Linked DNA regions of Drosophila melanogaster. Changing the gene in region 2 together with the main gene of any one other region gives a genetic interaction. Each region holds a gene or a part of one and is shown on either strand. Other genes may lie near its edges. The genes, in order: PIP5K59B, rdgB, Arr2 and stops.

Region 1 (10,539 bases), on a different chromosome or scaffold from region 2:
CTCGGTGCATTTGTGTCCGGACAGCAATGTGGTGCGCCCCATAATGGAACTATTATGGCTTCAATTTGTATCTAGATCCTCGCACCCTGGCCAAACACTCCGCTATCCAAAAGATATATAACTATTCTAACTTATTGCGGCTGCATAGTTATCCAGTGTTGTGCTTAGAACAGAAAGGTTTATGTTCCAAGCGATCTTTATTTAGTAAAATGTACCTTGTACCCCACGATGGTATTTTAATATTAGCATATCAAATTCAAAAACTAGTGTCACACCACTTTTACCCTGTTAGAAGTTTATTACCCAAATTAAACTAGCAGTCTTAAAGCATTGAAGTTGTGAAGACTGAATTAAATTTAAAAGCCGATAAGGTTGTACCATTGTTTAAATTAAAACATTTTATAAAATAACGATAATAATACATTACCTTACACTTTCAGATCGATGCCCACGCCGAACGGGAAGGATTAGTAATCGCAGGCTACTACGCAGCACCGGAGAACTTCTACGACAACCAGGTCGACAAGACCCCAGCCGCCAAGATAGCTGACAAGATCCAGGAGAACTTCAAGAACGCCTGCTTTGTGGTGGTGGACAACAAACTGATGACGCTGCAGCACGACCGAGCCGCCATCCAGGTATTCAACTGTCCCGGAGACTCTGGAGCAAGGTGGTCAAAGGCCAAGTTTACGCTCTCACAGGCGTCCGATACATTGGAAGGCGTGTCGCTGCTGCTGAAGCGCGGAGCCATGCGGGATTTGGTTGACTTTGACAACCATCTAGATAATCCGGACAAAAACTGGACCAACGACTTCCTGAATCAGCCGCTCAACGATCTGCAGAAACTGTACTAGTCGTCCGTTTCAAACGTACGTTTTTTTTTTAGTCTAGCAAAATCGCATTCGAGGGAACATGCCGGAATTTCAACCTTGCAATTTAATTTATTGTAATTACATTTGGATTTCAGTAATCTTTAGAATAATGCATATAAGTTAAATAACATTCAACTAATTAATAAATAATCAATTCTTTCATCATGTTTTGAGTCAAATGTTGTCTGCAGTCCGAGTCCGTCTGTTGGTGCACCTATTGTAATATCCTTTTTAAGTCCGGTCCGGTCCGGTTCTGTTCTGTTTATTGTGTTGAGTAAACCTAAGCGCGTTACAATTATCGTTAATAAATACAGATGAATAATATGTATATAATTTTGCTTTTGGTTTGTCTGGCTTGTAAATTGAAATATTTTACAATAATATTGTAATATCGCGATTGCTGATTATACATAGGTATACATAATACGTACTTATGTGGATATATCGGAGATCGAAAGTATCGCAAAAACGTTTATTTATATAATTTCAGTGTATTGTATATTTTCATATTATCTGATCGAACGCATAACGAACTCTTTACACCGTACACTAAACGTATAGGGGACCGGGACTACGAATCACTGATCACGGATCTCTGATCACCAACGGGATGCCATCCTGAGCACCTTACTCGTATTTGATTTGCCAGTTATATGCTATATGCTTCTGTAGTTCTGTGTATAAGGAGTATGCTTTGGGCTTGTATATAATATCTTTTGCTTGATTGAGTTATGTCTCTTGTTGGTTATTTTTCACCCAGTGTCCGCTGGAAGGGATGGGCAGGTGTGGGTGTGGCTGTGGTCGTGGTCGTGGGCATGACATGGGGGAATCTGTTCTACGTGGGGCGCCTTTTGATTATATCCTAGCTATACAAGAGCGCCTGAACACGCAAGCATAATCAGTATGTAAGAGTATGAGGCATATTTCGCTCGGACTCTTTCTCAGTCCACATCGTGATATATCTGGGTTGGTGTGTCTTGTGTTCCGTCACCACATGCTATGTTAGTTGATCTATAAGAATGCAATAGAGAAGTCATGTATCAGTGGGATGCTGTGGGGGAATGGCTAGGGAAGAACACCCAAACGAAAGATGCACTGCAATTTGGAAAACTCTAGTAGTGTACGATTCTACATGGACGTGTGCGAGTCTAACTCTGTGTGTGATGGGGGTGGAGCTGTCTAGGTGTGGAGGTGTCGTGGGTGCAGCGGTACGGGACGTATCTATGTGTGCTGGGGATCGTGTCTAGAGTCGGTCTCCTCTGATATTTACCATTCCCGCGGACAGAGAGTTGATGGCCTCTTCCACCGTCGGCTTGTGTCGATCGATTTTAGATGAGTTTATGGGCGAGAAGTTGTCTACGATTGCAAGCGTGAACGAATACACATATACAGATAGATATAGAAACACAAAAAGCGATTTCAAAGCAAATCTCAAGTGCCAATTACCGAGATCACCACTCGAACTGGAGTCCGTAAAACTTGGTGTGCCCTCTGTCCATGTGGGAGTGGAGCCCTCACCTGAAGCGGGCGGGGTCCAGGCCAATCCGCCGCGGGATCCGTACTGGCTGCTCGACGACGTGTCCACCGCCAGTAATGTATCCAGATGGACTTCCGAAACGCTAGTTAAACAATAAATCAATTTGTTACAAATGGGTATTTCCACTCGACGGCGGGATAGCTTAGATGGCTAACATACATAAGCATTAATACCTCACAATGTCCTCCTTGTAGGAGCCTCGATAGGCGGGTCCAATGTTCATCTTGCGATCCAGATAGTAGGACTGCTGATGCTGCTGCGACTGCTGGTGATGGTGGTGATGATGATGAGACCGGCGACCTATCGACGAGCTGCTGTTCTTGTTCGAGCTGTCCTCGGAGATGTCGTCAAAGGCGGGGGGAGGAGTCGAGCTGCATGAGGGCGTTGTGCCTAGCAATACAATGAGCAGAGCAAAATATACAACGGAATGAGTGGCAGAAGTAGACAGTAGTAATAAAAGGTAGCTGGGTAATGGTGTAGTGTGGCTGGGTAAGCGAGGTGCAAGCGAGTAGCTAATCCCGTCCCTGTCCGCGTCCAGTCGATCCCTGAGTGCCGTCGCTCTCGGGTATCGTGGAGGGCGCTGCCTTGGGCGCTCGTCTCTTGCCCCGTCTGATCTGCTGTCCAGGAGGACTCCTCGCAGGCTCTACGACCGGGTCGGGAAGCGTAAGCTTGGGTAGAGGTCTTCTAGGACGCTGTGTCGCCTCCAGTTCTCGTTTGACCTCCAAAAAAGCACTGACCGACTGCAGGAGATTATCCTCCTCCGGCTGGTTCTCGCAATCCTCGCCACCGAGCGCCAAATCCACGTAGTGAAAGTAACGCTTCCGCCTCTGATGTCGCTGCAGCTTCTCTTGAATCCCTCGCCTAGGAGAATGCTGGCTGTGAATACTGCCCGAGGATCGGGAACGTCCCGTACGATAGCTTTCCGCTCTGATCGGCGGAAAGCTCCGAACTATGGAGCCCACCGATGACCGATCACTGCGCGCCACAAAGCTGTTCTTGCGCTGAAAGATGTCCACGTGGTTGAGGAGTCTTGGCTGCTGGCGCCGGAAGCTACTTTCTGATCGAGCCGTGGAGTAGGCGGAGTGCAGGGAATCCCGGCGCCGCAGCGAAGAACTTCTCAGTAGAGTAACCGTTGGGTCTGCCAGAGGAGCAGGCGGTGCATATGGACCATATGGACCACTGTCCGGACCATCGAAGAGATCATGCAGCTCCAACCAATCCTGGACATTGCTAGGCGAACGGCGATCCCCGAATCGCGGAATGCCCTCGTTCGCTGGCACCTGAAGGGTGTGGGTATGTGCTGGTGCCGGGTTGGGATTAGTGGTGTGCGGTTCTGTACCTGGAGTCGTCCGATCCTGGGCATCCTTGCGCCGTGGCGAGCCGCGTGGCGGTACTGGCGGTGGCACTCGCGTCTTCAGATTACTGGCCGCCGGCGTACGCTGCTTGACGGGCGGTGGTGCCCGTTCACTGGCGCCACTGGTGGTTGCTGGACCTAGGGCAGTTGCTCCTCTTTCGGCTCCACCTGCCGCTCCCGCTGGCGTGGGCTCGGTGGTGGGCGGCTTGGCTGGCTGGTGAATCTTGCCACTGCTGTGCGAGTGCGAGGCGTGAACCGCTGAGCAAATTATAATAGGTTTAGGAATCGAAAGAGTGTTTTAGAACAAGTTGTAGTCGTGGTTAGTATACATTAATTTTTAGAGTGATTAACTTACGCCTGGAGGCCACCTCGTTGTCGCTGTCAATGGAGCGCTGAATAGCCTTGGAAAGGCTTTTTCTCTTCGAAGGCGAATGCTTAAGCGCTGCAAAAATGATGGAAATGCAGTAATTAGTTGCGGAACGCATAAATTTGTTTCGATCAAAAGAAAAAGTTCAAAAAGCATAGCACTTCCAAAGCAACTATGCGAAGCCAAGAGCAATACGGTTGCCAGGATGCCAAGGATGCCAAGGATGCCGAGGATGCCAGGGATGTGAGATCAACTAACGTGAGATTGAGAGGCATGCTTTGGCGTCCGTTTCGAAATCATATAAAACCAAGTGGTGAATACAAAACATCGTTAATAAACACTATAAAATACTCGTTAAGAAAGGTGTAAGTAAAGAAAGTGAGAGATAATCAAAAGTTAAAGGACATCGACCATTCGTTTGTTTACCTATATAGCTGGTCACCAAGGTACGAAATTTTCTGTGATTCCCCTTGATCTCTGGGAGATCCACTATATGCGTACGTAAGAGTGGGTGATTGCATTCGAGACATGGCCATAAAAGAAAGCAGAGAACAGAGCGGTTTGTTGGTGGATATTGATTTGATGTAGAGATATGTATATAGGTATCTCTTCAAATCGGCGTCTACTCAGGCCAAGTGTACCATATTGCATTTTTGCTGCACATCGATCGATTAACCAACATTAGCAAGCTACGAGTGTCTAAATGGTGTTCGGTGTGTTCGAATGTAAATGGTGTGAAAGTGTCTATGGCTAACTATCTACTCAAAAATGTCGGAAACCGGAACCGGAACCGGAACTGAGTGCTTGCATAACTCGGCCAACTGCACACAAAAATGCCTTACAGTACGAGTACTTAGCCCGACTTCCACGACCGGTCCACTTACGGGAGGGTATCTTGCGGAACACGGTCTTGGCCATAAAGTTTTGGAATCTTTGAGCATAGAACGAGGGCCGGCAGACCGATACGGTTTCCTGCAAGAGTATATATCAGTGGCAAATTCTTGCTAGAATCATCAGTCTTACCCCATCGTGTATGATGCTTTTGAATGTGTGCTCCAGCTTCTTCTTCAGCCTGTAGGATTGCAGGATGTCGATAATGCCGATGTAGAGCAGCAGGCGCTCGCCCTTCTCACTCCTTGCTGGAATGCCACCAGGTCTGGAATTGGGTTAGGTCGTCGCATGTAAGCTCGGAAAAATATATGGAACTGAAACTGAGGCACTCACGGCACATCCTCCTCGTCGTCGATGGGTTCACTCTCCGCCTGAATGCTCTCCATGGCCGTGGAGTGGGCAACCAGCCGCTGGCGATTCACTGACCTGTATGCCGCACTGGGTTAGATCTTTAGATTGCCCGAAGGCTTGGCAGCAAGCTGAGATACTCACTTATTCCTGCTGATGCCTGTGGCCGCATCGCCGTCCAGCGGATCGTCTGCATCCACATCGGAGTCCTCGGCCAGCGGAGCCCTAAGCGGTTTTCTCTGCTCACTCTGCTTCTCCTTTAGCGCCACGTCCAGATTGTGGACGCCGAGGAGCAGCGAGTAGTCCATGATTTTGAAGGACTCCAGCACCGTGCAGTCGCGCTGAATGGTCTTGATCAGCGCGGCGTAGGTCTCGGCCTCCAGGAATATGCCGTTGGGATGCTGCTCCATGAAGTCGAGGTCCTTGTACGTGGGCGACTTCTTGGCACGCTCCGCCTTGTTGGCCTTGCGCTTGAACGTGGAGCCCTTGAGGTCGTACTTGAGGTGCATCTTTACGGACGAGGGCAGCAGATTGTTCATGACCACCAGGCGAATATTTTTGGCATTGCTCGTCTGCAGGCAGTACAATCCGAAGAACTTTGGCAATAGCGTGCGCGGATTTTGATTTAGATTCATATAGTAACTGAAATGCAGATAACACTTTTTAAATAGGTCTTCTTGCAAAGATTTGTTCGGGTTACCCACCCAGGCAGTAGTTTCTGTAAGAATTCACCCTCCTTGTGTTGCACCGTCTTTATGATGAACTCGTCGTCGGTCGTCAGGTAGAATATAGAGCCGGAAGCACCAGGATTGGACAGTTCCCGCAGCGGGGACGTGCACATGGACATCTGAAAGTATGGACCATCAGTATCTGCCGACTTGGAACGGTCGCCCACTCACCATAAAATCATCTGGTTGGATGCCAAACAGATCCCGAAAGTAGCGAAACGCTATGGGCGCATAGATCTTGTATCTGAACTCGCTGTAATGGTGGGCAGGTGTAAGGCTAGAACCCTCTGGTGGAAAGGTGATGCTCTCGATTTCCCAGAAGTCCATCATAAGTAGATCACGCTTGGGCTTCGAGGCCAGACTGCCGACCTGCGAAGGATATTTCAAGATTACTAAGTAGATGGAAAAAGCCAAGATATACAAGATATGTCATACGAATCAAGCTTGGGTCAATCTTGTAACCCCGCCCTGAGTTCATTGAAATGTTTGGAAATAGTGCTAGTAAAACATGCAAGCTCCAGTACTTAAGGCTATGAATGTTTCTTACAGTGTGCTGGATTCCCAGTTGGATGGAGCCCATGATCTGCGACGTCTGGATCTTTTTGTACGTAATCTCGCCGCCCTCGCCGACGCGTCTGTGGCCAATCTTGCGCTCCTTGTCCGCCTTGCTGGACGCTCGGTTCGGTCGGTTGCCCAGCTGGACGGATGAATGGTTGGTTAGTTGGTTGGTTGGGAGTGAAAGTAATTGACCCGATTAGTTTGGATGGGAGTGACCTCGAGGTCAAGGCGGATGTACTTACGTCGGGCGATGAGTTTCCCACATGGTCGGTGGAGGCTAAAGAAAGACGGACAGAGTTCATTATTAGGAGTCATGTTTAATTCAGGCCATGACGCAGTCGCCTGGTCAATCACCGCAACTTGAACTTGGACAGGACACTCTCCCTCCAGTCGCGTGTGACTTTCTTTTGTTATCAATCCCAAAATATAAATAGGAGCCGATGGAAGTCCGTTTGACAAGTGCGGGGGTGGATTCACACTCACGCTTCCTCCCTTCGCGCGAGACACATGCGCCAGGGGCATTTCCATTCGACAGTCATTGATTTTTTTCACGCTGCGAAAAGTGACGGGGTCTGTGGATAATAGTTACCATTGCTGGGCTCGGCCAGTTTGGCCTGAGACGCCGAGGAGCTGTCCATGTCGATGGTGTTGATGGTGTCGCCATCGCCGGAGGCCATCGTGCAGCTCCTGCTCTGCTATCGTATTCTCTTCTCTTCTCTGCACTCTTCCCACGTCTAGGACTTCACTAGGACATGCTGGCTGGCTGGGATTGTGGACTTGGGCTATTCGAGGGCTGCTTTCACGTTTTCCGATCCTCGGCGATTATCCAATCGAGTGGGCTAACTGGGTGGCAGGAACCTTGGCTCTCGTCTGGCGCTGGCGTCAACGTTTCTGCTGTCTACGGTGATGGTGATGTTGATGGCTCCTCTGCCACTGCTGTCATTTTCACTGCATACTCATAGGCACACTGGAAGGCTGGAAGGTCGGCAGGGCTGGAAGGGTGTGCGCAGGAACAGGCACGCAGGGTTGCATTCACAGTCAGACGGTGAAGCGGAGCATCCGCACTGTTGTAAAATCCGCAAATAGCAATGTTTTTAAAGCTTATAAGCCTTTGACGCGTGGAAATATAATATACAAACATAAAAATAGTAAATAATAATTTATGTTAATAAATTTTATAACACCCTGTGGCCCTGTAACGCCCACATGATTAAAACGAATTATTAAAAACAAACTTCATTTAAACCAATCCATAGATGCCATAAACAAAAGTAATTTGGATTTAATTAGTCATGCTGAGACTTTTTTTTATTATATGTGTGACTTGAGTCCAATCTACAGCGTAATTTTACAATAAAAATACAATTTTAAAATTTGTTTAGTTTTTTAGCAAAGAAAAACGACGACGAAGGCGGTTGGTTTAATGCACTTTTAATGTTTCTTTTCGTATTTTTTTTATTAGCGTTTCTGTACTCAATTAGACCTATACATCGTATATAACTATCATATATATTTTATTTATGTGGTAAATATATGAATACAAGAATTTCTTGTTATGCTTTACTGTTGTCCTTTTTGTCTTTATGGGTTCGTTTGCTTACGCATTGTGGTGTTTGTTTTTGTTTTGTGTTTCGTTATCCTTACAAATACATGCATGTACAAAATAAGCGCTTTTTTTTAAAAATACCGCAAAAAATTACGTTTATCCGTTAAAAGTCTATTAAAAATTAAGGAGTATCAAAGTTCCTAGTCCAAACATAAAAACGAATGTAGCCTACATAAAAAGGACACTACCAAACTAACTGCTTAGAGCTAAGGATGCGATGGACATGACTACGGCGACCGTTGTCCACTTGCGTTGTATAGTTGAGGCCTTATCTGTAAAGAAGAAAATATTAGATTATGTATTCAATTTTGTTAACTTTAAAACTAGGTTTTCTATAAGGATGGAGAAACGGACAGATGTTAAAAATTTCAAACAAATCTAGCTTACTACTTTAATGCTATGATGCATGAATGAATAACTTGTCCTTATAAGCAAAGTGTTATCCAGGCTTACCTGTACTTACCATAGAAAATAGTCTCCCGGCGCTTGGTGTAGTTGGTGCCAACTAGGATAAACGCACAGGTGATTGGGGTGGGGGACTCGAGTTGATCTCTAGGAATGCGGGTGCGAACGGTCATGCTGTAGAGGCCACTGGGGTCCTGGTCCAACTGCGTCAGTACCGAGTCCAGTATGTGGGTGTCAAACCTGCGGAGGGAACGATTAGGTCCTTGCGCTATTGGATTTCACCGGCCTTAAATTGCCGGGGACAGTGGATCCTCTTACATGACAGACAGCATGGGTTGCGGGAAGACGTGCTGGACCGCACACATGATGTCCACGTCCATACGCGAACCGCTCATCCGCGCTTCCAGCATGAAATCCGATTCAGGAACTGTCGCAATTGGAGCAGATTGGACGAAGGGTGTGTGGTGGAGCCGGCGGACAGGAGCCGAAAGACAAAAAGTCGTGAGAATTAATCAAGTGTCAAACTAAACAACGAAACAAAACAATACCAAGCAAAACAGTGTCCCAAAGAAAAGCACAAAACAGCACAAACAAGCCGTGGTTCCGGACACCGCAGAGACTGCCACATGACACGCATGCAAATATGAAAGCGAATCACACGTGCCACACAGACGGCGCCCAGCACCTGCACTAGCAAAAAAAAGTACTGACCCTAGCATTTAAAAGGGGAACTCGATTGGGAACGCCCTGACTAAGCCAATTACAGTTGTCCTACAGCACTGAAAACAACTTCAGATACTAACTAAGATTAAAATATTCAAACCGTAGTTATGGATATATATATATATAGCTAACAAAGTTGCTTTAAAACAAAATAGAAAGTAATATCATGAAATATAATAGAATATAAGTTCCTTAAAAAGGTACGTTGAAAATTTAAATTAGAATTGCCCAGGCACAAGATGATATGCGAGAGAATGAATGCTAATAGTGGGACAGAATAAAGGCCAGCGCATTAGAGTAAGGCTTTCTCGGCTTTTGTTAATGGCTTTTAAGTACATAAATCATAATTTTTGTCTCCCTGTGTAAACACCGACACGAGAACACCTATGCAAACACCCTGGTGGCGGGGGCCAAGTCAAGATGGGGGCGGGTGCAGGTTACCCGGCAGAACCAGAGGCAGAACCACCACCTTAGACCTTTCGACCCCCACCACCACCTGCTACCCATTCCCATTCCCATCGCCACCGCACATCTTTCACCGCCGATCCTTTTTCTTTTGGCCGTGGTCGTGACACCCACCGATTATTTGCAGGCGGGCACTCCGCTTATCCGTGGACTCGAAGGTCTGCACTGCACAGGTGTACTCCCCCGTCATGTTCCAGTCGGGATTCTTTATCGATATAACACCGGGACTGCCCTCCATAGTGAATATTTTGGTGTCTATCTTCGACTTCATGAAGCCCTACAGGCGCAAGAACAAGAACAAATCGAAGACAAAGACAGAGTTCGATTAATCTTAATTAATTCGGTGCGACCAAAGACCCCGAGTGACTCACCATGGCGAACCCCTTGACCGATGGTATCCACTGGTAGATGGAGTGGTTATTGAACAGCCATTTGAGGACGAATCCTTGCTCCCGCGGCCCGATCTCCACCTCGCAGTCGAGCACCAGAGGATCGGGTTCGTGGTCTCGGAACAGCGTGTAGGTGCGTGGCACCCGCAGGTTGGTGATGCGCACCGAGTGAGTGACTATGCGGCATGGGGGCGGAGTAGGAGGAGTACAGGATTAGTTTGGAGGAACCCAAAAAGGATGTATGCGAGAACTGCTCACCCGAGAGTAACGCGAGCACGGCCAGCAGCGTGGCGCGT
Region 2 (7,578 bases):
AGAAATACGCGCAGCCAAATGAAAAATTAACTAATAATCCCGAAAGTTATTAGCTAATAAACACGCTGAAAAAGATTTGAAGAGCACGCAAAATGTTTTGCAAATGTAATTTAAACAGGATATAAACATTCTACTCCCCATATTCACAATCATTGGCTTTAAACAAAGGGCAAATAAAGGCCATCATTTTTAAAATAGACCACATGAGCTATATAGTGAGTTCTCAAATGCAAATTAACATTTTCTTTATTGATTTCGAATGACAGCAGCGAAATGGAATGGGCAAGTCTTTGACAAGCACTTTGGATAATCGGATGTGACCTGCGGGTGAGGGCTCTCGGGGGTTCCTTCCTTCTTTATTTTTTTTTTTTTTTCGATGCGAATCGGTGGTCAATGTCAGCGAAATGCCAACAAAAAGAAGTGATTCTCCCCCCTGATAAGGTCAAGTAAGGTACATATCGGTACATTTCACAAGGAACAGCCAAAGAACTACTAGTTCAACCTTCTTCACTCGCATGTCCCTTTGCCCATTTCGCTTTCAGTTGCATAAATAATCAATTTGTTACTTGAATGGTTGTATATTATGATAGTGATTAGAAGTTATTACCAAACTTTTGGCTCGCTTGCAATTGAAACTGGCCAAAATTCCGTTTATTGTGCATAATTGGGTTGCTCTTCTTACCTTGAACCATTTCTACTTTTCCTATCTTTTTGCTAATTGGATTTATTGTTGACTGCTGACAACAGCAATACCAACCAACCAAGCTCAGGTGGCCTGAGGGGCAGGTGGTGTGGGTATGTGTGTGTATATATATATATCTATCTATATACATAGCTATGTAGGATGTCGTCTGACGCATTTGCATCGCATTTTGACCTATAGGAATGTAGCTAAGGAGAGTGGAGGGAGTGTGGGTGAGTGGGTGGTGGGCTAATTTAGGGGGTGGAGAAATGGGCGGGCCAACACGTGTTTAAGACGAGTTCAAACGGCGATAGGGGAATTATCGTTATGACTGATAATAAAGTGATGAATTCCCGTGCAGAAATATTAATTAGTTTCGTATCAAGTAATTACAGTGGGTATTGCTTAAAGGGAACTTAACTGATCATTTTTATTAAGTGAAGAATATTTCCGCACAGAACGTTAAGTTAAAATCTAAGCTACTTGAAATTTGTCAGTATATCTATATATCTATATATTTATATTATCAAATATAATAGAATATTCTTGGGCATATAGCATATATATATTCTTAAACTACAATTAAACCTCTTAACTACGTAGCCCCACTGTGCTTACAAGCTGTGAACTTCCATTGCTAATGACCTTCATTAGACTCCTAATCTGTTTAGATCTTATCGCGTATTTATCTCGACCACAAATTTGTCCAGCTCCTCATTAAGTGCTATTGTATTCCCCCATCCAATTTATGGATCCCAAAGGAGCTTACTTTTTAATTGGAGCTTTTGTGTTGGTCGAAAAGGGGGGAATGGGGATTTTGTAAATTGATGTAAGTGGCACTTAGCATGCAAACTCAACACTCAACCATGTTGCGCAAAAGTTTAGATTTCCCTATTTACTATGAGATTAAGAAAAACAAGCTACAGAATATCTAATACATAATACAATACATTCATTCTATATGAAATTACTAAAAAGAAGCTTTTGATATATGTAATTATATTATGGCATAGTTTCATTAGTTTGTAGTTATATATGGTTTGATCCTAATAAGATCTGGATAGACATTGTTGGGGAAATGGGGGAGGGGGCGGGATGTTCTAGATGCTAAAATAAGAGGCACAATAAAGGAGGGCCGTCAATCAATAATTATTGGGCACAGCGGGCAGTGGGGGAAGGGGAAACGAACACAGACATGCACATGTTTATGTCATGGCAGTTACATGGCAGGCCGTAACGAATCGTAAGCCCCAACAATATGGCCACCGCTTTAGGCCCCCTTCCCCCTGCCATGCCACGCCCCCTTTTCGCCTAGCACTCTCCACCCCCCGTTAGCCTCCACACATCACCATTTTTCTGTTTTTTTTTTTTGCCTCCTTAGCATAATTACATTTTGTGACACAGAAAATGCGCCAACAGATTTTCTTTGCTACACTGGGTCAAAGGTTATCGAAAGTGTGTCCTATATATAAGAAAAACAGATAATTTCATAACGAAAACATGTATCTTCCACTGTTTTAAAGTTGTGAAACAACTTTTTTGGTGTAAAAAATTTCTGTTAAGCTAGCGAAAGTAACAATGTGCAGTTAGCACTATATGAAGAATGCTAGGTTTTGTTTACAACTGCAATTACTTTTCCCAATTTAATATTCATATGTATGTACATTTTTACGACTTTTAGAGAACACAAGTAAAGTTCATATAAGAAGAAAGCACCTGCAGTTAAAAGTGATAAGAAATGTTAATATTCACGATGAGAAAAAACTTTGCAGCGATAAGATTTATTACAATGGAGCTTCCTTTATGGGGCTTATAAAAAAATGGACATTATTTACGATTCGCTTAAAGTCTTCTTATTTGGCGGGGGGCATTCGAGAAATCTAGACTAGAAAACACCTTTTTTTTTAAATGATATAGCAGCCCGGAGATGAAAAAGCGGCCCACTGTGCATCAATAAACAAATTACAAACGCACACATGTGCTGGCTATAAAAGATCCGGCCAAAGTGCACGTAGCCTTCAATGTGGTTGTTTATGATGTATTTTGTCATTTAAAAAATTTTTGTTTATGATGTGACCAAAGGGTAAAGCAAGGGTATGCACACGGAGAAAAGTAAGAGCAATATCACAAATATTTTCATTCATTAATATTATTAAAATATATTAACACAATGCACATTTTATCCATGTCCACTCTGATATTTAAATTATTTTTAAGATTGCTTGATATACTTTTCTCTCCGTGTAAAATCATAAGATGAAGATGGGTAAAATTCCACGCTTTTATGCACAAAACCATTTTTGTTATTAAGTCTGCCAGACAGAAGCTCAAATAGTGAAAATAGAGGAAATAAATTTGCGCAATTGTTGCAACATCAAAAACGCCAAACTGATAAATAAATTGCCATGGTAATTGACCAAGCAATACAATAAAAAAAAAGGTGTAGAAAAATGTGCAAAAAAAGGTAATAAAACGAAGAAAAGCAACAACAACAGAAAACGCACTCAAGCGGAAATAAATGAACGCGAGACAGAGACAGAAATAGACGGGTTGGGATGCAAAGAAAGCAAAGGTTGAAAGAAAGCCTATTAAATCCGAGTCTCAAGTTTAGTGAGCTAAATTAGACGGAAAAGAGCAAGAAAAAAAGGTCACGTACTCTCTCTTTGGCTCTCACCCACTCTCCCCGTCTCGCTCACTCCTTCGTGCACACCTGTGGCACGCTTTGTGCTTATTAATAATTTATAAATACAATAAGCAGCAAAAATAAGAACACAACAAACGTATTTCTTGGGTTCATCTCAAAAAGGGCCTATATAATAATATTTATTTTGTACAAAGATATCTTTTATAGACTCATTTATGAAAAATGTACATTCCTAAAAATATTAATCATAGGAAATTCATAATTTCTAAGATTAAAGACTTTTTTTCAAAAACCAATGGTTATAAATTCCAGAGCAGTGCTTTCGAATAAATATTTTTATTTTTCATCTGAGTTAAGTTCCTATTTTTTTAGTATAATGAAATGTGTAAAAAATTATTTATGGAACATTAACCAAAAAAAGTTATTTTTTATGAACTCATAATGAAAACATTTCTAACAATATTATTCTTAAGAAATTTATCATTTTTAGATTAAAGCATTTTTTTAAAGAAATAGTTATAAATTAATATTTTTATTTTTAATTTGACTTAAATTCCTTAAAAAATACTTTAAAAAATCAATCATTAAGATGGCTATAAAAGACTTTTTAAAACGCTGAACTGTAATAAACTTTATCCGATTTATAAAAGTGCAAAAGTACCAAACATAACAAAACAAAGCTTTACGTGAAAATTACGCATGGAAAATTCTTATCACAGACTTGTTGTTGTTTGTAAAAGAGAGCAAAAGCGTGAAACAGGAAGAGCGGTGGGAGAGAGCTAACGGGACCTTGAGACCTGGCCACAGCCAACACACACACACTTACACAAACGCGACGCAGCTTACGCATTTACGCAGCTGCCACCCACACACACACACACACGACAACCGAAGTATCCTTAACTAATTTTACGAATTTTGTTGTAAACTATTCCATTTGTTACAAACAAAGGTGAAAAAAGAGCAGCAGTGGAAAACGTACCAACTTTCGGCGGGCCAACTCACATTATTATCATTGCGGGCAGCTGGACAATTAACAACAAAAGAGTAAGGTCCAAAGCGCAAAGGAGAAAAAAAAACAACGAACAACGCACAACAAAATATAAATATACAGTGGATATATGCTGACTCGATTGGGCGATTAATACAATTTATCTATTCATTTTCTTCGGGGCGCTTTTCCAGGCCGCAGATGAAAAATGTTTTCAGCGTTGTTGCTGCTTGCCTTGCGTTTGCTTATTTCTTTTTGCAATCAAAACGTACACACTGAAAAAAAAACAGCGTGCGCTGCGCGGCGGCAAAGTTGCGATTGCGACTCGGCTCGCGTTTGATTCCGAACTGAAGTAAGATGAACCAAACCGAAATGAACTGAACGGAACGCCGAACGCTGAACTGAACGAACGCCGAAAAGCAAACGAAGCTAAAGCAAAAGCAAAGCCAAGAGAAATGAGCGGAGAGAGCGAGGCGTTCCGAAAATGAGTATCACCGCAAAATCGCCAGACTCATAAAAAGTATACTAGTATATACATAAATACATATGTATGTATGTACATATTTGCAATCTGGATAATTTTTGCTTAGATATTAAAAAACTATTTCTACATTACATATACATACATGTTTTAAGTACATTTTAGAAAAGGACTATTTAAGGACTAATTAAATAACAAAAAAGTTAAAACGCCACCGTTTCTGAAAACGGTCAGTTCAGTTCTCAATTCTCAACTGACGATTCGCGGAAAACCCCTTACTTTATTTGTGCGCAACAAAAGCGCGCGAGAAAGCGTCACTCTCACTCTCTTTGCCTTTCTCTCCTTTTGCGGGGACACTCAGCTGGCTAGGCTGAAAAGGGGGGGTTTCGTAAATTGGATTTATGCATATCGGCCAATGAATAATATACAGTAATTTCTGCAAGAAACTCGGATGGCCAGAACCCCACAAAATGCCAACGTCCCGGCGTCCTTGTGCGCTCTCTTCTGGAGAAAAGCAGCGAGAGCAAGAGCTTGCCAAGCCCAAAAAGAAGAACAAACGCTGAAGGGCAAATAGTGAGAGAGAGAGAGAGAGAAGACGCTCTAAGTGTACGGTAAGAAGATAAGCTTAACGGCGCATTCCGTTCGGTCAGAGTCAAAGCAAACATGTCACGACATGCACAAACAAAAGACGCCAACTGTTGTCATTCCGCTCCTGTCACTCCAGCTCCCTATCTCGCTCTATTTTCGACTCTGCTGTTTTCGCTGCCCTTTCTAGTTTGTCTATTGCATTTGATAAAGTTCAACTTTGACATTTACACCGCGCATGTCCCAAAACTGTAAGGAACAATTGAGTTTACACAGGTTGCCCAGTGATTTTTGAACGAGTAGTCACTAACGATAAACCGAATGCAAATTTTAATTGAGTGCACATCAAATGGCAACGGACACTAGTTGCCTCACTCTCACTTCCGCCCACTCAATGCATCCATCTCCTTGTGCGTATTTCCATCCCAACTTCGCAATCCTGTTAAGCATCTAGGGTGCTAGTAAATACCAAGCTGCACAGTTTTCTAAATTTTGATTTTTATGAGTTATTCCTAATTTCTTTTCAGTTTATTTATTATCTACATTTTCTTTCGTGTACCTTTCATTAGGTATCATAATTGTATTTTAGGCACTTTTTGTTTGCTTTATTTATCGTGTTGTTTTTTGGTTAAGCATCTGCTTAAGATCACCTGTGATATATGCATTTATCTTTTTATTATTAGCTCATTTAAGTTGTTTGGCCGATTTACTATGTTAAATATGTATATTTTCGGAAATTTTTCTATTTACTTCAGAAGGGGTGCCTAAAAATGTGCCCAGCAAATTCTTGTGTGTGTTTTTTAATACCATAAAAGTTAGAATCCAATCCAGAATAACCATTGCTATTGCTATTAAAAAACTTGACTTTTCGAAAATTTGCAGCTTTTATTTTTATGGGATTTTATAGATTTTTCTTTTTTGATTGTTTGATGAAACTTCTAAGCTAAACTACGCATTCCGGGTTTTTATTTTCTGATTATCAGAAAGTGCGTGACGATCGAACGTCCCTGGTAACCAGGGGGCGTGGCCATGGGCGCTCTAGTTCTGGGCGTGGTGCATGCCATGGTAGGCGGCCTGCTTGTGGGCAGGGCTGCGCTGACCGAAGGGGCTCTTGGCGTTGACCTCCAAGATGTAGTCACCGCGCAGATCGTAGTCGATCTGGAGACCCATGTAGGCGCGCTTGCCAAAGCCATCCTGCTCCTTGTACTGCTTCAGCGAGTTGGCCGGAACGGCGGGGAAATTGCGCTCGCTACCGGGACGCACAGACTCGGCAAAGTAACGGGTGGCACGGGCCACAGCCTCGATCACATTCTCGGAGCCGGGAACACCGGTGGACGGTCCGTTGGGGTAGAAGTCAACATCGCCGCAACGGATGGGCGTGCCCATGGCGAAGGTCGATGTGTGAATGGCATCAACGAAGTCAGCATCGCCGCGGGACAGACCACCCAGGATCTGGGGACGCTTGGACAGCACCTTGGCGGGATCCAGACCGGTGATGCGGCGCAGCTTGTGTCCGGTTTGGGCGGTGTACTTGTTGCCAGCAGCTCCGGCCACATGGGCGCTGATTCCCTGGCCGATCAGATGGATGATCTCCTGGGGCACACCCTTGTTGGTCAGATCGATCAGGGTCTGGCCGATCATGGCGCCGGTGTTCAGAACATCCAGCATCGCGTAGCGTTTGAAGTTGGTCAGGGTGGAGCCGAGGTCAATGATCTGCAATTTGAATTTCATAAATATCCATATGTACACGTTTAATTATGAAATATAGGAATGCGACCAACTTACGATCAAATCGCCGCTGGCAGCCTTGGCGGATTTCCATTGGTCAGCGGCCTCCTCGCTGCTGGTGTAGTCGTAGTCGCTGCTCTTGAGCTGCTGCTGCTGCTCCTGGGCGTTCTTCTGCAGCTGCTGGAGGTTGTACTTCTGGACGTAGGCCTGGATCAACCTGCGCATGGCCTTCTGCTGAGCGGGGCTGGTCTTGGGCAGACCAGTCAGGACAATGGTGACCTCATCCTCGCCGAATCCGGGCTGTGCCTTGGCCGTCTCCACATAGTTGTTCAACTTGCACTCAACCTTCTGTCCATTGGACTTGATAATCCAGACGGGCACATTGCTCGGGCTGGGCACAAAGCTGGGGGTCAGATCGTGCTTGATTTGGCCAACGTGGTCTAGGTGTGATTCACAAGGAGGTTATC
Region 3 (6,822 bases), on a different chromosome or scaffold from region 2:
TTGCTGCTGCTGCTGCTCCTGCAATCTGGCAATGCGAGGTGGAATCACATGCAACACATCGCTGGTAAAAAGAGCCGGTGGCACATTGTAGAGTTGCTGCGGCTGCTGTTGCTGCTGCAAGTGTTGCTGCTGCAAGTGCTGCTGCTGCTGCAAGTGTTGCTGCTGCAAGTGCTGTTGCTGCAACTGGTGTTGCTCCTCGACGCGGCGTTGTGGTTGCTGCAGCGAAACCCGTTGCACTGGCAGATAGTTACCTTCATATCGATATTTGGCCAAATCGGCGTGTGGAGCGATGGTCCGCTGCTGGTACTGGACACTCTGCTGCGGATACAGGGGCGGAGGGGGTGCGGCAGGAGCGGGCAACTGCTGCTGCTGGTAATCCAAGCCCAAGGGCTGATAACTCGGCCGATAGTTAATCAGCTGAAAGTGTGGCGTCTGCTGCTGAAAGTGAATCGCCGGCGGAGGAGCCGGACTATAGCCGCCCACAATGGGCGTGGCAGCGGCACCATACTCAAAGCGACGAAGACGCGGTGAATCGTAATACAATTGTCTTGGATGGTAAAAGACATGTGGCTGCTGCAACAATGCCGGCGAAACGAAAAGCAACAATTGCAGGAGGAATATTTGCATCTTTAGCAGTCCGTTTAACTTTCCAATTGGCAGATCCATCGCGTTGCACTCTCGTCAAATTTGTGGCAGCATTTTGACAACAACATAGCCATTTATAGTTGGCCACTTTTCGGGGCTTGGCCAAAAGCCGGAAGTCACTTGCCCAGCAGTCAGCGGTGTGTGAAATCGATCGACGCTGCTGCCCCGGATTGTGCAATGCTCCAACGGTCAGCTGCAGGGCTTATATAAGATATGGCAAATAAAATGCGAGAAAATTGTAAAATAGAAAAAACCAAAAAAAAGAGGAAAATCAGCTAGACTGACGGGGATGAGACCTAGAATCAAACTGCTGGCAGCTGGCGGCCTTAGCCATCATCAAGGTCAAAAGCTTGGGCTATTTAGCATACACAAAAATTGTGTATTTTGGCAAACGCATTGTCAACATCTGGAGCTTGGAACTTCCGTTGACCGTTAGAGCCGGCCATATCCAGTTCTGGTTGATCCTGATTGGTGGAACACATATCCTGGCAGCCTGTTGCTTCTTGCAAGGGGTTGAAAGCCTACGATGTGACCTATAAGCATTGGGCTTTTCAACCCCCTGTCATCGTTGAAAAATCACCCTTAGAATTCCTGCCAGCAGATCCTTCGTCGTCGAGCTGCGCAGTTGTTTAGATCATTCGACTTCTGAAGTTGAAACCCACAGCACCGCCAAGAACAATCCACTACCAAAAACCGAATCCTTACCGAATCACTTTTGGATACTACATCGCAAACGAGAGAAAAGGTGAGTGCTTTTGATAGCCATAACACATTTATAATATAGCGACACGAGGTCTGTTCAACTCATCAACATGCATATGTACGGGTACAAACTCCAGATCCACCAAAGTTACATTATAGATACGATTATAATACAAAGATTGTGGCCTCCACGAGAGACTGCTGCAACAAATTTTCAGTGCTTTCGATTTAGTTCAATTCGGTTCACAACAGAGCTAGAAGAGATTGAAGATCGGTGGCCTAGTCCGCCATGTTCACATTGTTCATGCGCATCTTGGCGAAGTCCTCGAATACAATATTATCGTCATCATCCTGGTAATAGCCCTTCACATTGCGGTGCTGCTCGATGGACTTCATTTTCTTCATGGCATTCGAGCGCTTCTTCTCAATGGTTCCTATACCACATCAAAGGAATTACAAACTAGAAGTCAAGTTCAAGTAATCTTCTAAAGCTTACCAGGTGCCGGTTGGAGTAGCTTGAAGGGCACATCCGTCTGCATTTCACCTCCCAGAGTGCCGCAGTTGAGCTTAATGCGCACCGAGTACGAGATGACAATACCACAGGCATCTCCCGTGGACTTGCCCTCCTGCACCATGGTGGATGAAGCCAGGTTGACATCCTCGTCCTTCAAGTGACCATCCAGGGCGATACCTGAGTTCACAATTAAATAATCCATTAGAAACTATCCAGAATCACAACTATCACATCCAAATCCTACCATGGCGATCCTTGTTGTTAGCCGCCAGCGGAATCAAGTAGAAGGTCTTGGTGAGATTGGCGCCCGGAGTGATGGGGCAGCCCTCCTTGGTCTCCAGCTGGGCCACATGCTTGCTGAACTGGGCGTTCACCATGGTGATCTCAGTGTGCTGCACAATGAAGCACTTGATGCTCTTCACGGACTTCTTGGAGTTGTTCGACACCTGGACGGTGGCAGCCGTCTTCTCGCCATGATAGTAGATCTCCCTGTCCAGCGTAACCTCCAGACTGATCTTGCCATTCGAGAAGGTGAATCCCTTGCTGACCAGCGAGCTGGGCAGACGCTGGCCACGATTGAGGGGAGCGTACTGCAGCTTCTTGATCACCAGACTGACCATGCTCCGCTTGTGCTGGCGATCGTCCTCGGAGTCGCCCACAAATGCCCGGATGGTGTACTCGACGCCCAGGGGCTTGCCATTGTCGTCGCCCTCCTGCTGCAGAGTAACGGAGCTGGGCGAATTGGGCGGGAAGTGGAAGGTGAACGGATAGGCGTTGCTGCCCAGTTTGCGGACCAGCTTCTCCTGCATCGGTGTCATCTCCATGTTGGGATTGGTCATGGGCACAATTTGCTCCCGGCACAGGATAAGCTCCTTGGAGAACTTCACTCCCATGACCTCGTCCTCCTCGCGACCATAGCGATAGGTGGTGGCCAGTTGGCCAAAGACTTTCCTGTTCTTTAGATAGTCCGGTTCCACCACAATCACTCCATCGACGGGATCACAGTAGTCGATGTGGTCGATGAAGTCGCGGCGTCCCAGATAAAAGGTGACCTTGCCGTTGGGCGTGGCCTTCTTAAAGACCTTCACGGATACAACCATTGTGGATTAGTGGATTTCTTTGATTCCTGGCAAATGCAACTGGGCAATTCGAGGCTAAGTCGGGCGATGCGCGTTATAGAGTTTTCCGTTCGGCGGAGGAAAATGCGAAACCCAAGTGCCGTACAACCTGCTTATATACCTTTGCCCTGGCCCTGTCCGTGGGTCTTCATTCTGGCCACTAACTGGATTTGCTCGTTATGCACTTGTTTGTTGGCTTGTCCAACACGACAATAAGATAGAACCATAGGAACTAAGGGAAAACTGCAAACAAGCTGCTTCCAGGGGTTGTTCTATTTTCTGCGCAGTTTGCCACTTGCCCGAGCAAATTGGCTAATGTCAAGTATCTTTTTCCGATTTTCCGACCTAGTACGAGGTCATTTGGCCAACTGTTGAATAATTGAGCATGGTAGGTTGGAGCTGGATTAGCATCCGATTTGGTGTTACCGGGTTGTTATCAATCGGCCAGTTTTGTTCTCTCTTAGCCAAACATCAGTGGGCAGCAAGGAGAAACCTTAGATGTTTTTAATTTTGTTATGTATCAAACGTCGATATATTGATTTTAATGTGAGAGGTATAATTGAAATTGGCATTTCTTACAACTAGCTTACCAAAGGTCGCAATTCATTGTAGTTAATGTTAGATAATATTTAAGGTCCAGAGAAATTGGTATTATTTTGAATCTCTCCTTTTTTTTTCTTTGCAGTTGAGATCTAGAACCAAGATGCAGACACAGACACACACCACCACAGACCGACATGGCTATAGCCTGCGCTTTTCGCCTTTCGAGGCTAACTACTTGCTGCTAGCTACAAGGTGAGATCAATCTTAAGCTCTAAAACCAACAATATACTAATAGAAAACCATTTTTTTTCGATACCCAGCCAACTGTACGGTCTTGCTGGAGGTGGTTCCCTCTTTCTGCTGGAACAGAACTCCAACACAAATTCCTCATCCACAGATGGCCAGAGTCTCGGAGAGCTGTGCCGCCTAGAGTGGTCCGATGGATTGTTCGACGTCGCCTGGTGTCCGTATGCCGCCGATATCGCCGCCACTGCCTCCGGAGATGGATCGCTTCAGATCTGGTGCGGATTGGATGGCGAATCGGCGAGCAACCAGCTGACGCCGAAACAGCCGCTGATCTGCCTGCAGGAGCACAAGAACGAGGTGTACAGCCTGGACTGGGGCGAGAAGTGGAACTACCACACGCTGCTCTCGGGCAGCTGGGATTGTACACTGAAATTGTGGGACTGCAACAGACAGAACTCCATCACCACATTTGTGGGCCACAACGATCTGATCTACGGGGCCAAGTTCTCGCCCCTGATCGCCAATCTGTTTGCAAGCGTAAGTACCGATGGACATCTTAACTTATGGAACTCTCTTGACTTTGCAGGTAAACCCCTGATGAGCATCGAGGCGCATGCGAGTGAGGCACTATGCTGCGACTGGTCGCACTTCGATCGCAATGTCCTGGTCACTGGAGGTTCGGACGGTCTGATCCGCGGCTGGGATCTGCGCAAGATGAGGACGCACGTCTTTGAGCTGTACTCTGGAGAATTCGCTGTCCGGCGATTGGCCTGTTCACCGCACTCGGCAGCGGTCTTGGCATCGGCCAATTATGATTTTACCACAAGGTAAGTGGAATGATCTTAGGCTTTCAAAAAACAGGACATTTTTATGGTTAGTAACAACTGTCCACTTTTGTCACCTTTTTAGGATTTGGAATCTGGAGCGTGGTGAGTCCGCCCAGGAGGTCAATGCGCGGCACACGGAGTTCGTGTGCGGATTGGATTGGAATCCCCACAGGACCCATCAGTTGGCCGACTGTGGCTGGGACTCGTTGGCCAACGTTTATACCCCGCAGTGTCTGAGCGGTGATCTGGTCGTCTAGGTTAGTACAGGGCATGCCCAAAACTGGAAACTGGAACTGGTACTCCCTAAATACCGAAAACACATGTGATAAGGCGCTAGTGGCGTCGAAATAGCCAGGCCTACAAGCGGTGCACCGTTATTACGATAGCTGAGCTATATGCAATGCCTATAAGGAACTGTAAGGAACCGAAGACAAGGACTCATCGGCGCAACGATGACGTGTAAATAGCTGTGTGATAAACGCTGAACGGGCTAAAACCTCAAGCAGGTGCTTCAAAATGTCAATAAAAGCTTACATATATCACGAGTATTATATGAATTATATGGGTTTTCTGCGCTGCTCTGTATGTTATTATGGCCTTCGCAATAAGTTTCTTGGCCCCTGGCTATAATTTGCACTCGGCCCTTGTCTTAACAAGAATTTAACGGATCACGGAATTGGAGTTCGAATTGGTTAGGTGGCAAAGAGCCAGCCAGACGCTGACGGAGATTGACTTGGCATCCTTATCCGGTTGGCTTAACTCTGACCAAACAAACACGCAATAAAGCGCTAATTTGCTGCAACGTTTTATTGCCCGAGTGGAGCCGAAATCCCTGTCATTCCCGGAATTGACACAGCCAACAAGGTGGATATTGCCCAAAGGTGTGCCAGCCATCGCACCTTTTCGGCATGGCATGGTGTGAAATGGCAGCAGTTGCTCCCTGCGAACTCAGATCACAGATCCCAGATCCTGGCACCCCGATCCCGTCATTATCAACAGACTGCGCTTTAACTGCCACTCGGGGCAAATATTTGCTTTGAAGCCAATTGGCGCTGATTTCTTCTGACAATTGGGGGCAGATCAGGAGGACCTTACTCTCGATTCTCGACACCAGGGAACAGCAGCTGCTGACCCGTAATTATCTGCTCGCCAGTCAAGTGATGCCAAAATTGATATTAATGCCTTGTTTGTGTTAATAAAAATCGGTTATTCGGAGCCTGCCAAGCTGAGAGGTGCTGAATTTATCCTTAGGCGAAGACAGATCTTGATGGGAATTCGGCACCTCATTTTATTTTAAATAATTATTTAATGAAGGAGTGTTTTGCCAGTATGTATTATTTGTTTTAAGTTCGGTGCCGAAACTTGTGCAGCTGAATTTTTCTTTGGTAAAAAAAGCTTAGCATCAAACATGATAGTTGTGTAAATATGAATAAAATAAATTATGTTATTATGTTGTGTCATGTCATGTTATGTTATGTTATTATGTTATAATGTTGTTACATTACATAAGAAATTTTGAAATATTTTAAATTTATGGTTGCAACGGTTTGTGCTATAAATATGTGGCGCCGCCTATCGGTAGTTTACAGTACCTGTCTATTTTACATGCATTCTACATACATGCACTGCTTGCGAATACATATCAAATTAATATGCACTGCTTTATAACGTTAATTTGAATATTTCGACGCAAACTACAACAAATATTCAAAAAAATTTCATTCTGAAATGTATTTTATATAATTTAAATATAAGAAATAACATTTTATATTCAGTTTATTCGACAATAATCATTTGTACATTTTAAGACCCATTTCGAGTCTTTGCCGTCATTAAAATGAAACGCAATTTTGAATGAAGCCAAAGTCCTTAAAACTACAGACAGTAATTTCGCGCAAAAGCCAAACAGTCGTTGCCAACTATAAATTAGCGCCAAACAAAGTTGCAAGCCGAAGGCGGCTGGCGAGCGAAAAAAAAAATGGTCACTTACCGCGAGTCCGCGTTGTCTAGCCCATAACCTTGAGTTGGCCCTGGCCCCACGGATATCGTCAATGTCAAGGTTGCGTTGTTCTTGGGCTGCAGCTTGTTATAAATAAACGGAGAGCAGAAGTGTATTTCAACACCCAGCACGCGAGGAGGCGATCGCTTCTGCTTCGGCAGCTCCAACAAAACGAGTGCCTCCCTTCGGGAGATCGGGATGAGATGGTACGGTATGGTATGGGATTGT
Region 4 (7,467 bases), on a different chromosome or scaffold from region 2:
AAGAGACCAAGGTTCGTTTCTCGCAGCACACTTTAAGACGCCTTAAAGACGGATTACTGAGACCTAGAAGTTATTCAACTTCGACATTTCTGCAATATTTTTTTCTGTGCCTAACTTGACATTGCGTATATGTGCGTAATGTGTTGTGTGAGGGGTGGGCGTTTGTCTCCATTCAGGCATTAGCATGTACAATGCACTTAAAGCACATTTCCGGCACAGCGCACACATACACACACGGCTTTTATGTCTACGCATAAAAGTAGGCAAATAAAAGAGCAGAAACCACAATAAACCGGAAGTAGAAGTAACCCACACATCAGACGATAAGCGCACTTTGAGCCACCATCCAGTGACAGCTTGGAAATTGGCTTGGCAAATTCATTTGCGTTTTATTGGCGGCGATAAAAGTGAGTCCCTGCAAGAATCAAGCCATTCCCCAATCGCATCCCATGACAGGTTCCTCAATAGCCGTATATAGCACCTCGTGGCTGGCATATTCTCCTCCAGTCGGAAGTGATTTGCCCCCAAGTCAGACATTAACACTTTAATCAGCTGCTGAGTGGGCTGACAAATCAAATTTCTGTCTAATGGTCTGCTTAGCGAGTATTAGCCGGCGTTTCATGTTAATGTCTTTGCTATACAGTGTGCACTTCGATTAAATCCGATGAAAAGAGTATGAGTTCTCAGCTTGTGAAGTTCCCAGTGCCTTGGAGGGTATAAATTATTCCGAGTGCCATTAAGTCGGCAGGTTATGCAAATGCAGTAGTGAAATAATGTAACTTGCTATTTTAAGCCATTTAAGCCATGCAATTACTGAATTAAATCATGTTTTTTTCTCAATAAACAATTAGGTTTTAGTGTTTTGTTAAACACCCTTTTCAGGTGTTTTCTTTGCAAATCCGTTACTGTTGCATTAGAACCCTAACATCGTAAGTAAATTGTGTAAATCTCATTGTGAGCTTTTAGCTTCAACACAATTCCTTTTCACGAGTGTTCACTGTTCTGCGAAAACTTTGGCAATATGCTGCTCCAGCACTGATTTATGCAACTTCAACGGCATTTGGCCGAAACGTTTATTGTCACATTGCTTGTTTTTCTCAGCTCTTGGGTCGCACACTCCACACACACACTCCCAATCGTACACCCACATACATTTGCAGCTATTGACGCTTATTCATGACTTTGGCTGCTGTTTTGCGAGAGGGCATCATAAATGTCGTCTTAATGCTTGCCAGTCAGTATGTTTTTTGCCTTCTGTTTGTTTAAGAAGCGCAAACAGTCAACTCGGCAATGGTATGGGTATGGTATATCCAAGGGGGCGGGCTGTATCTGTGTGGATTAGTGGGCGTGGTGGGGTTGAGCATGCCTTTGTGCGCTTATTACACGCATTTTTGACTTTAATCCTCCGAAGTGCTGGCGAACAAAGCCGAAATAACAAAAGGTTTACATCGCTGCCTGTTGGTTTTCAGCTTATCGCATCAGCGACACTCACACACGGACCTCATGTGCATGTGGGAGGGTCGGAAAAAGAAGGCGGAAAATGGGAAACCCCCCCCCAAAAGCAAGCTGCAAATGAAAATCTTAATTATACATGACACCAGCAGAAGTGAGAGAAAGCCACCGCCAGTGATTGAGAGCCATTCTCTGTAAAAGTGTATTCGCAGTCGTGTCTGTGGTTGTAAATTGTCGCCATCTTTCACTCAATTATGGCAGTCACACACACACACACACTCTGTGTAGGTGCCACAACAATGGCTGATGAATTAATTTAATTAAAATCCTTTCATTTCTCTGGTTACCCTTCACGTTCGTCCACCATTTCCTTGCATTCCCAGCGGGTATTTATAGTATCTTATTGTTACCGAAAACATTATTATTGTGTGGAAAACTGGCAAGCCATTAAGATTGATCGGTATCTCGGCACATAATCCGAATTTTAAAGTTTAATCTTTAATTCTTGGCGATTTGCTTTGTAAGCAACTTATAATTTGCTCTGATAGCCATAAGCTAAGTGTATAGAAAGGCTTACTGTGACTGTTATGAAAGTAAGAGCTCTCCATAAATGTCCAAGCATACAGCTAGTATGAAAAACTCTTTGGGGGAATGAAGACCTCGGCATGGCACCCAGGCAACTATCCAATTAACCCGGCTAGTGTGAAAATCGCTCGAGGCAGCAAAAGAGCGCGACACATGAAAGAGTGAAGAGGGGGGAGTGGGGAAAAGGGGAGAATGTCAGGACAGGATGGGGACCGGGCTGAGGACTCACCTGAGCTGTCGCTCCTGCTCGAAGCGCGGAATCCAGACGGGCAATGTGAGCTGTTCGCGTGTGGCGTGCTTCAGAAAGTAAACCATAGCCCGGACATTCTCGTGCTGCGAACAAAGGACATACATGGGTGTCTATTCCACGGGGCCAGGAATAGGGTCTTTCTGCCAGTCTCACCTGATCCTGAAAGTCACTGCGCCAGCCGGCGATGAAGTGCGGAGCATGTGGTCCAAACAGGGCGCCCAGGAAAATGCGCTCATATGTCTTCTCGCACTCGTAAATGGCCACTGAATTGCACAAAAAGGGGATAAATTAGTCATGGGAACAGGAAAATAGTTAAAAGTTAATTTATATAAAACAAGCCACGTTTAATAACATTTCGAAGTGGGTAATGCCATAAACCAAATTTGTATACACATTGTGACCGATTTTCCCGCGATGCAGGCAAATTGTCGGTAGTGGAGAAAGCGGTTAAATAATGTCATCAAATCGCAGCAGCGCAGCCATAAAAAAGCTAATTACGTGGCTGCACTTGTTGCTGCTTTGGTTTTTTGGCTTTCGGTTTCGTTGGCTTTTTGGCACAGCCCAGAAATGAAGTCAGCGGAAAACGGAAACGGCCACAATGTTTGCCAAACCAAGGCCAGCGGGTCCAAAAGGCTGGAGTCAGCAACAAAGCAACTTGGTGAGTGAGGACAGGACAAACAAGGAGCAAGTTTTATTGCACACGAGTCCAGATTCCCTGACAGAGGCATGCCATTAATTCCAGGCACTTTTCCTGCTCGCAAAAGTTTACGCAGCCTTTTAATTAGAGGCAGCCAACATGCGTACGCCCCAAATAACTTGCAACACTTTGAGGCACTTTACAAGTTTTACGATGCAGCAACAACAGAGCAACAGAACGACATCAGCAACACTTTCTTAACGCAATTAGCAGAAACACGTGATTAAAGTGAAAACTGCCTGCTTATGGGCGTAATAATCCGATGCGATGGGATGATATTTATTAAAGTATGCAAAGCACACAGCCACGCCCAAAAAGCAAACAGGAAAGTCTTGCCACACACACACGCACACTCACTCGCATACGCTTACGCACACATACGCATACATATGCATTTAAATTAAATTATTTAGTTGGCCCGACTCCACTTACCCAGCAGCTTGACGACCACCTCCGAGTCCCGGACTCCCCAATCCCAGCAGGTGCGCAGTCCGATGTACAGGATGTTGTGATACTTGCCCATGAGGCAGACCTGGGGAATACGCATGGAATGGAGGGTGTGGTGAAGGGGCTGAATCCCAACTGAAGTGCTACTTTTTAAATTATAAATAATTGCCATATGAAGAGATGGCATTTAAAATGGAAGAAAATTAAGTTTAGCAGACTCTGCCAAAGGAAATTAAGCCCGAAACAACTTTCCATATTTATTTACACTCTAAAAGGTCAATTGGATCGCAGCAGCAGGATATACATATTTATGCATAGTTTTAGTACTTTTCTAACCGTTTTCTAGAAAGCTTTATTAAATTCCACTTTTATTCGACTCAAAAGCAAAGCAATGTTATTTGGCTAATTAATCATTGGTTTCCATTCATAAGGCTTGGTTTAAACATTAACATTTATTTAATACGACAACGAAATAGACTGACTTGGCTTTTGTTCTAATTATTTATTTCGTTTTTTTAAGTACCGGAAACTAATTGTCAAATCATTATTAATTAAGTTGAGCTTTGCTAAAGCCCAGTGCTAGTTTGTATGGACTCTTTTAAGTAAATATTTATTCATATTAACTATTGAAGTTTGGCACACAGAAATGCCACATTGGCAACACTCGATTTGTACATAAAGCTCACCTGGCCGTTCTGCTCCTTGGCCATTCGGTGGTACCTCATGGCCGCCGTCACCGCGATGGCGGCCACCTCATCCGTCTGCGAGTTCTGGCCGCCGCTGCAGCCCTTGATGATGGAGCTCAGGTGGTCGAGGACATCTCGCCGCGACTGGCGGTCCTGCAGTCCGTTGCGGGAGATCTGCTCGAAGGTGTCGTCGAAGAAGCACTCGAAGATGTAGTCCATGACCAGATGGCGGCGCTGGGTTCGCCGGTTCCGCTGGTGACTGGCCCTATTGGCAGGATTCCGACGCAGTTGTTCCCGCACCCGCAGACGCAGCCGTGCCCGTGACTCAGTTTCCCGGCGGAAACCGTAGAAATGCCGTGGAAATGGCAACCAGCAGCGAACCCACACAAATTGGCTTTTTAATTGACTTACCAGCCGCTGGAAAGCCTGTAGCAACTGCGAAAGCATATTGCAAACAAAATTTAATTCACTTTAAGTAGGCAAATATTTTCGATTGAGCTGAATTGATGATTCCCTCCAAAGAATTGAAATTCCGCTTCAAAAAAACTCCCGCACCGCTGAAGCCAAAGAGTCGCAATACACAAAAAAGAGAGAATTTCTTTTGCGGGGGTGACTCTCTTGCGCTATCGATTTTTTGCAGCTGGCAATGATGTGCTGGGAGAACTTTTGATAAACATAAACAACTCATAATGAGCATGCGGAATATTCATTTTAATATTTTTAAGCATTGCAATCATATAAGAAAATAATTACATAGTATGTAAAGCTTATTCAAAAGCTGATATACAGTTCAATTACTTTTTAGGCCTCTTTATTTCCGTGAAGCTCCCAGCAAAGCAATTGGCAAACAGGTGTTTGATTACCAGCCGACAAGTATATTTCTATGAGCTCTTCAAAAACCGAATGGAACTCGAGGACTCCATTGAAACTGATTCGATTCGATTCAATTCGATTGGTTTTTGCTAAACAGTCTATTGCACTTTGAAATTTGCTGGCATTTTTCCGAACCATTTATTCACTGCACGCAGCGCACTCACACAATTTTCCACCCCACTCATCAGCTGCCGCTGGAAAACTAAACAAACGAAGTCCAATTTCTAAGAACGCTCAGCTGTTTACCTAAGCGCTCACTCTCCCGCTTTCTCTCCACTCTCTCTTTGTACAGAGAGTAGCGGAGGTATTAAATACGCGTTTCATGAGCATAAAGCTAAATTAGATTCTAAATTGGAATTTTCAATTTAAAATATATAGTACATATGTATGCTCTCACATTATTTTTGTGCTAAATGGGTAATGTTTGGCGATAAGCATAAAATCAAATGGCGCATAAAAACGCAGGTTTTTGTGATTTTGCAATATTAAACTGAAAAATAATTGGTTTGTCATTATAAGGATTATGCTTGATTCAACAAAAATATATTTATTTCGAAATAAATACTGATGGTGTGCTGTTTAATGTTTCAGTGCTTTTTTCGGTTTAAATCATTAATGAATTTGATTTTACAACGGAAAACTGAAAACTAATACAAAGTCACTCGATACTTCATTCCAGAGTGAAACCGATATTATCATAAAGCGAACCGCTTTAAGCTATCTTTTTAGAGATTTACTAATCCCCCTTCAATGAATCCATTACATTTTCAAGGGGATCATTTTGAAATAAATATTGCAACAAATATTCATATACACGGATTTAAATCTGTAAACAATAGGAGTGTTTTCTCGAGCTTTAGCCACGTCAAATGTATTTTAAAACACGACTCCAATTGTCATGTAAATTTCTCAGCTACAAAATAAATTCATATTTTAAATAGCAATTGTGCACATTGTTTACATGTTTTTCTATCACCCTTTGCCAATTAATATTTGTTTATGCGGGACATATCAATTTTCCCATACATTATTCAGGCCCACTCATTCCATTATTCGCCGTATTTGCACGTTTAATATTTGGGCTGACAATTAAGCGCTGGGTAAATATTTAAGCACTGCCATAAACATTAATTAAGAACGCACACCAAGGGATCCAGAGATGATGACTGGGATAATCATGTCTGGTAGGGATTCCTCGGGTCCTTCGCCTTAATCGCATATGCAAATAAGTGTCGAAGGACATTCGGCACAGTGTAATTAACTCAGGTCCATTAAAACGGTGCATATTTGTGCTGGTTACCCAGGACAACATGGCAATATTTTCACCTGAACAGGCTCACCTGAGCGCTAATTAAAAGGGCAATGCAATTGTGGCCATATGCAGGCTATCCGATGCCGCAAAGGTAGCGAATTAATTGAATTAAATTCGTATCCAATCAGCGGCGTATTGGCCGTAAATATATGAGTCCGAATAAATGCAACAATGTGTGGTTGCACTGTGGTCGAGCCAAGCGGAAGCGGAAATGCACACAAGCCTGGCGAAATTTTTATTTCGCTTCCGTTTTATGCTGCACTCGATTGTGCGGGCACATGGAGCACAATAACCGAATTTACATAATTTCTGGCGATGCAATCTAATAGCTGAATAAGGGGTCTCCCACTGTGGAAATTACGATGGCAATTTATTGGTGTGCAGATTGAGAAAAAAAAACGACCCCCGAGATATACATCATTCAGAGTGCATTATGGCATCAGACCAAGTCCACAACGGAACTCCCTAACTCGAATTTATGTGACTGCCAAAGGAGTCACATCTCAAATGTTAAGCACTACTATTCTTTGCTTACTGAATTTGCTTGCATCTTAAAGATATAGCTTATACATAACGTTCTGTCTTTATTTCTCTTCGTAAGTGATATTAAAACTCGGTGATTACTTTGTAATTTTGGATAGAATTATTTACTGCGCTACTCTACTTAAGAAAGTTTTATTTACGAAATTTCAGTTTACACTATACTAAACCCCAAAGAAGAATAACAGTTGAGTTTACACAGTGCCTTCCGCCCTGAAACTTATGGCATCTGCCCCTTTTTCCTTTCCTTTTTGCAGGCTCCTCTGTATGGCGATCAACCAGGATGATTCGTTCCACTTGGAGTACCGCGGACCCGTTATCATGAAGGGCAAACCGACGCCCATGGACTGTTGGTTCCTGACGCGTGCCACAAGCAGCATTTTGGGAGGCACTTCCTCGACCGGAGGCAGTGGCGGCGGAGGAAACGGGAGCTTGGATTCGCCGCTGCTGCAGCCAGCCACTCCGACCGCTGGCGCGGCCACGCCCATTCCCGTAGTCGCCCAGCGGGCAGCAGGACATGCCAGCGTGTCACGTACTTCGTCCGCAGGAGGAGGAGGAGGAGGAGCGGTTGTGGGCACATAGGAACTGTGCAAGGACTCGTCCTGCTGCTGCTGAAACATCCTGT

What was found.
Region 1: of rdgB (region 2) and PIP5K59B, changing one enhances a phenotype caused by changing the other (phenotypic enhancement), as found in Drosophila melanogaster (one study listed by BioGRID).
Region 3: of rdgB (region 2) and Arr2, changing one suppresses a phenotype caused by changing the other (phenotypic suppression), as found in Drosophila melanogaster (one study listed by BioGRID).
Region 4: of rdgB (region 2) and stops, changing one suppresses a phenotype caused by changing the other (phenotypic suppression), as found in Drosophila melanogaster (one study listed by BioGRID).

What each region holds. Positions count from the first base shown.
Region 1 is NT_033778.4:22,871,822-22,882,360, reverse strand, and holds PIP5K59B (phosphatidylinositol 4-phosphate 5-kinase 59B), read right to left. Parts: upstream 7,593-10,539; 5' UTR 7,333-7,592; coding exon 7,245-7,332; exon of another isoform or gene 7,189-7,244; intron 6,933-7,188; coding exon 6,898-6,932; intron 6,795-6,897; coding exon 6,645-6,794; intron 6,467-6,644; coding exon 6,269-6,466; intron 6,217-6,268; coding exon 6,074-6,216; intron 6,012-6,073; coding exon 5,514-6,011; intron 5,460-5,513; coding exon of another isoform or gene 5,448-5,459; coding exon 5,355-5,447; intron 5,287-5,354; coding exon 5,154-5,286; intron 5,103-5,153; coding exon 5,015-5,102; intron 4,620-5,014; coding exon 4,557-4,619; intron 4,206-4,556; coding exon 4,119-4,205; intron 4,022-4,118; coding exon 2,922-4,021; 3' UTR 2,800-2,921; coding exon of another isoform or gene 2,583-2,799; intron 2,492-2,582; coding exon of another isoform or gene 2,319-2,491; intron 2,229-2,318; coding exon of another isoform or gene 2,143-2,228; intron 1,884-2,142; coding exon of another isoform or gene 1,870-1,883; 3' UTR 925-1,869; downstream 1-924. Other genes in the region: EMC8-9 (ER membrane protein complex subunit 8/9), read left to right, coding at 441-854; CG13532 (uncharacterized protein), read right to left, coding at 8,454-8,533, 8,725-8,906, 8,985-9,093, 9,969-10,131, 10,226-10,419, 10,502-10,539.
Region 2 is NC_004354.4:13,759,842-13,767,419, reverse strand, and holds the start of rdgB (retinal degeneration B), read right to left. Parts: upstream 4,669-7,578; 5' UTR 4,475-4,668; intron 4,352-4,474; exon of another isoform or gene 4,309-4,351; intron 1-4,308. Other genes in the region: Yp3 (yolk protein 3), read right to left, coding at 6,422-7,096, 7,169-7,551. UniProt on the Drosophila melanogaster protein: Catalyzes the transfer of phosphatidylinositol (PI) and phosphatidic acid (PA) between membranes. May control phosphatidylinositol concentration in transport vesicles from the subrhabdomeric cisternae (SRC) to the rhabdomere.
Region 3 is NT_037436.4:8,645,865-8,652,686, forward strand, and holds Arr2 (arrestin 2), read right to left. Parts: upstream 3,073-6,822; 5' UTR 2,962-3,072; coding exon 2,106-2,961; intron 2,039-2,105; coding exon 1,844-2,038; intron 1,782-1,843; coding exon 1,627-1,781; 3' UTR 1,397-1,626; downstream 1-1,396. Other genes in the region: CG13305 (uncharacterized protein), read right to left, coding at 1-666; Pex7 (peroxin 7), read left to right, coding at 3,683-3,774, 3,843-4,595, 4,678-4,852. UniProt on the Drosophila melanogaster protein: Regulates photoreceptor cell deactivation. Arr1 and Arr2 proteins are mediators of rhodopsin inactivation and are essential for the termination of the phototransduction cascade.
Region 4 is NT_033777.3:31,163,910-31,171,376, forward strand, and holds the start of stops (slow termination of phototransduction), read right to left. Parts: upstream 4,696-7,467; 5' UTR 4,565-4,695; coding exon 4,118-4,564; intron 3,517-4,117; coding exon 3,417-3,516; intron 2,551-3,416; coding exon 2,441-2,550; intron 2,371-2,440; coding exon 2,267-2,370; intron 1-2,266. Other genes in the region: Gycbeta100B (guanylyl cyclase beta-subunit at 100B), read left to right, coding at 7,100-7,424.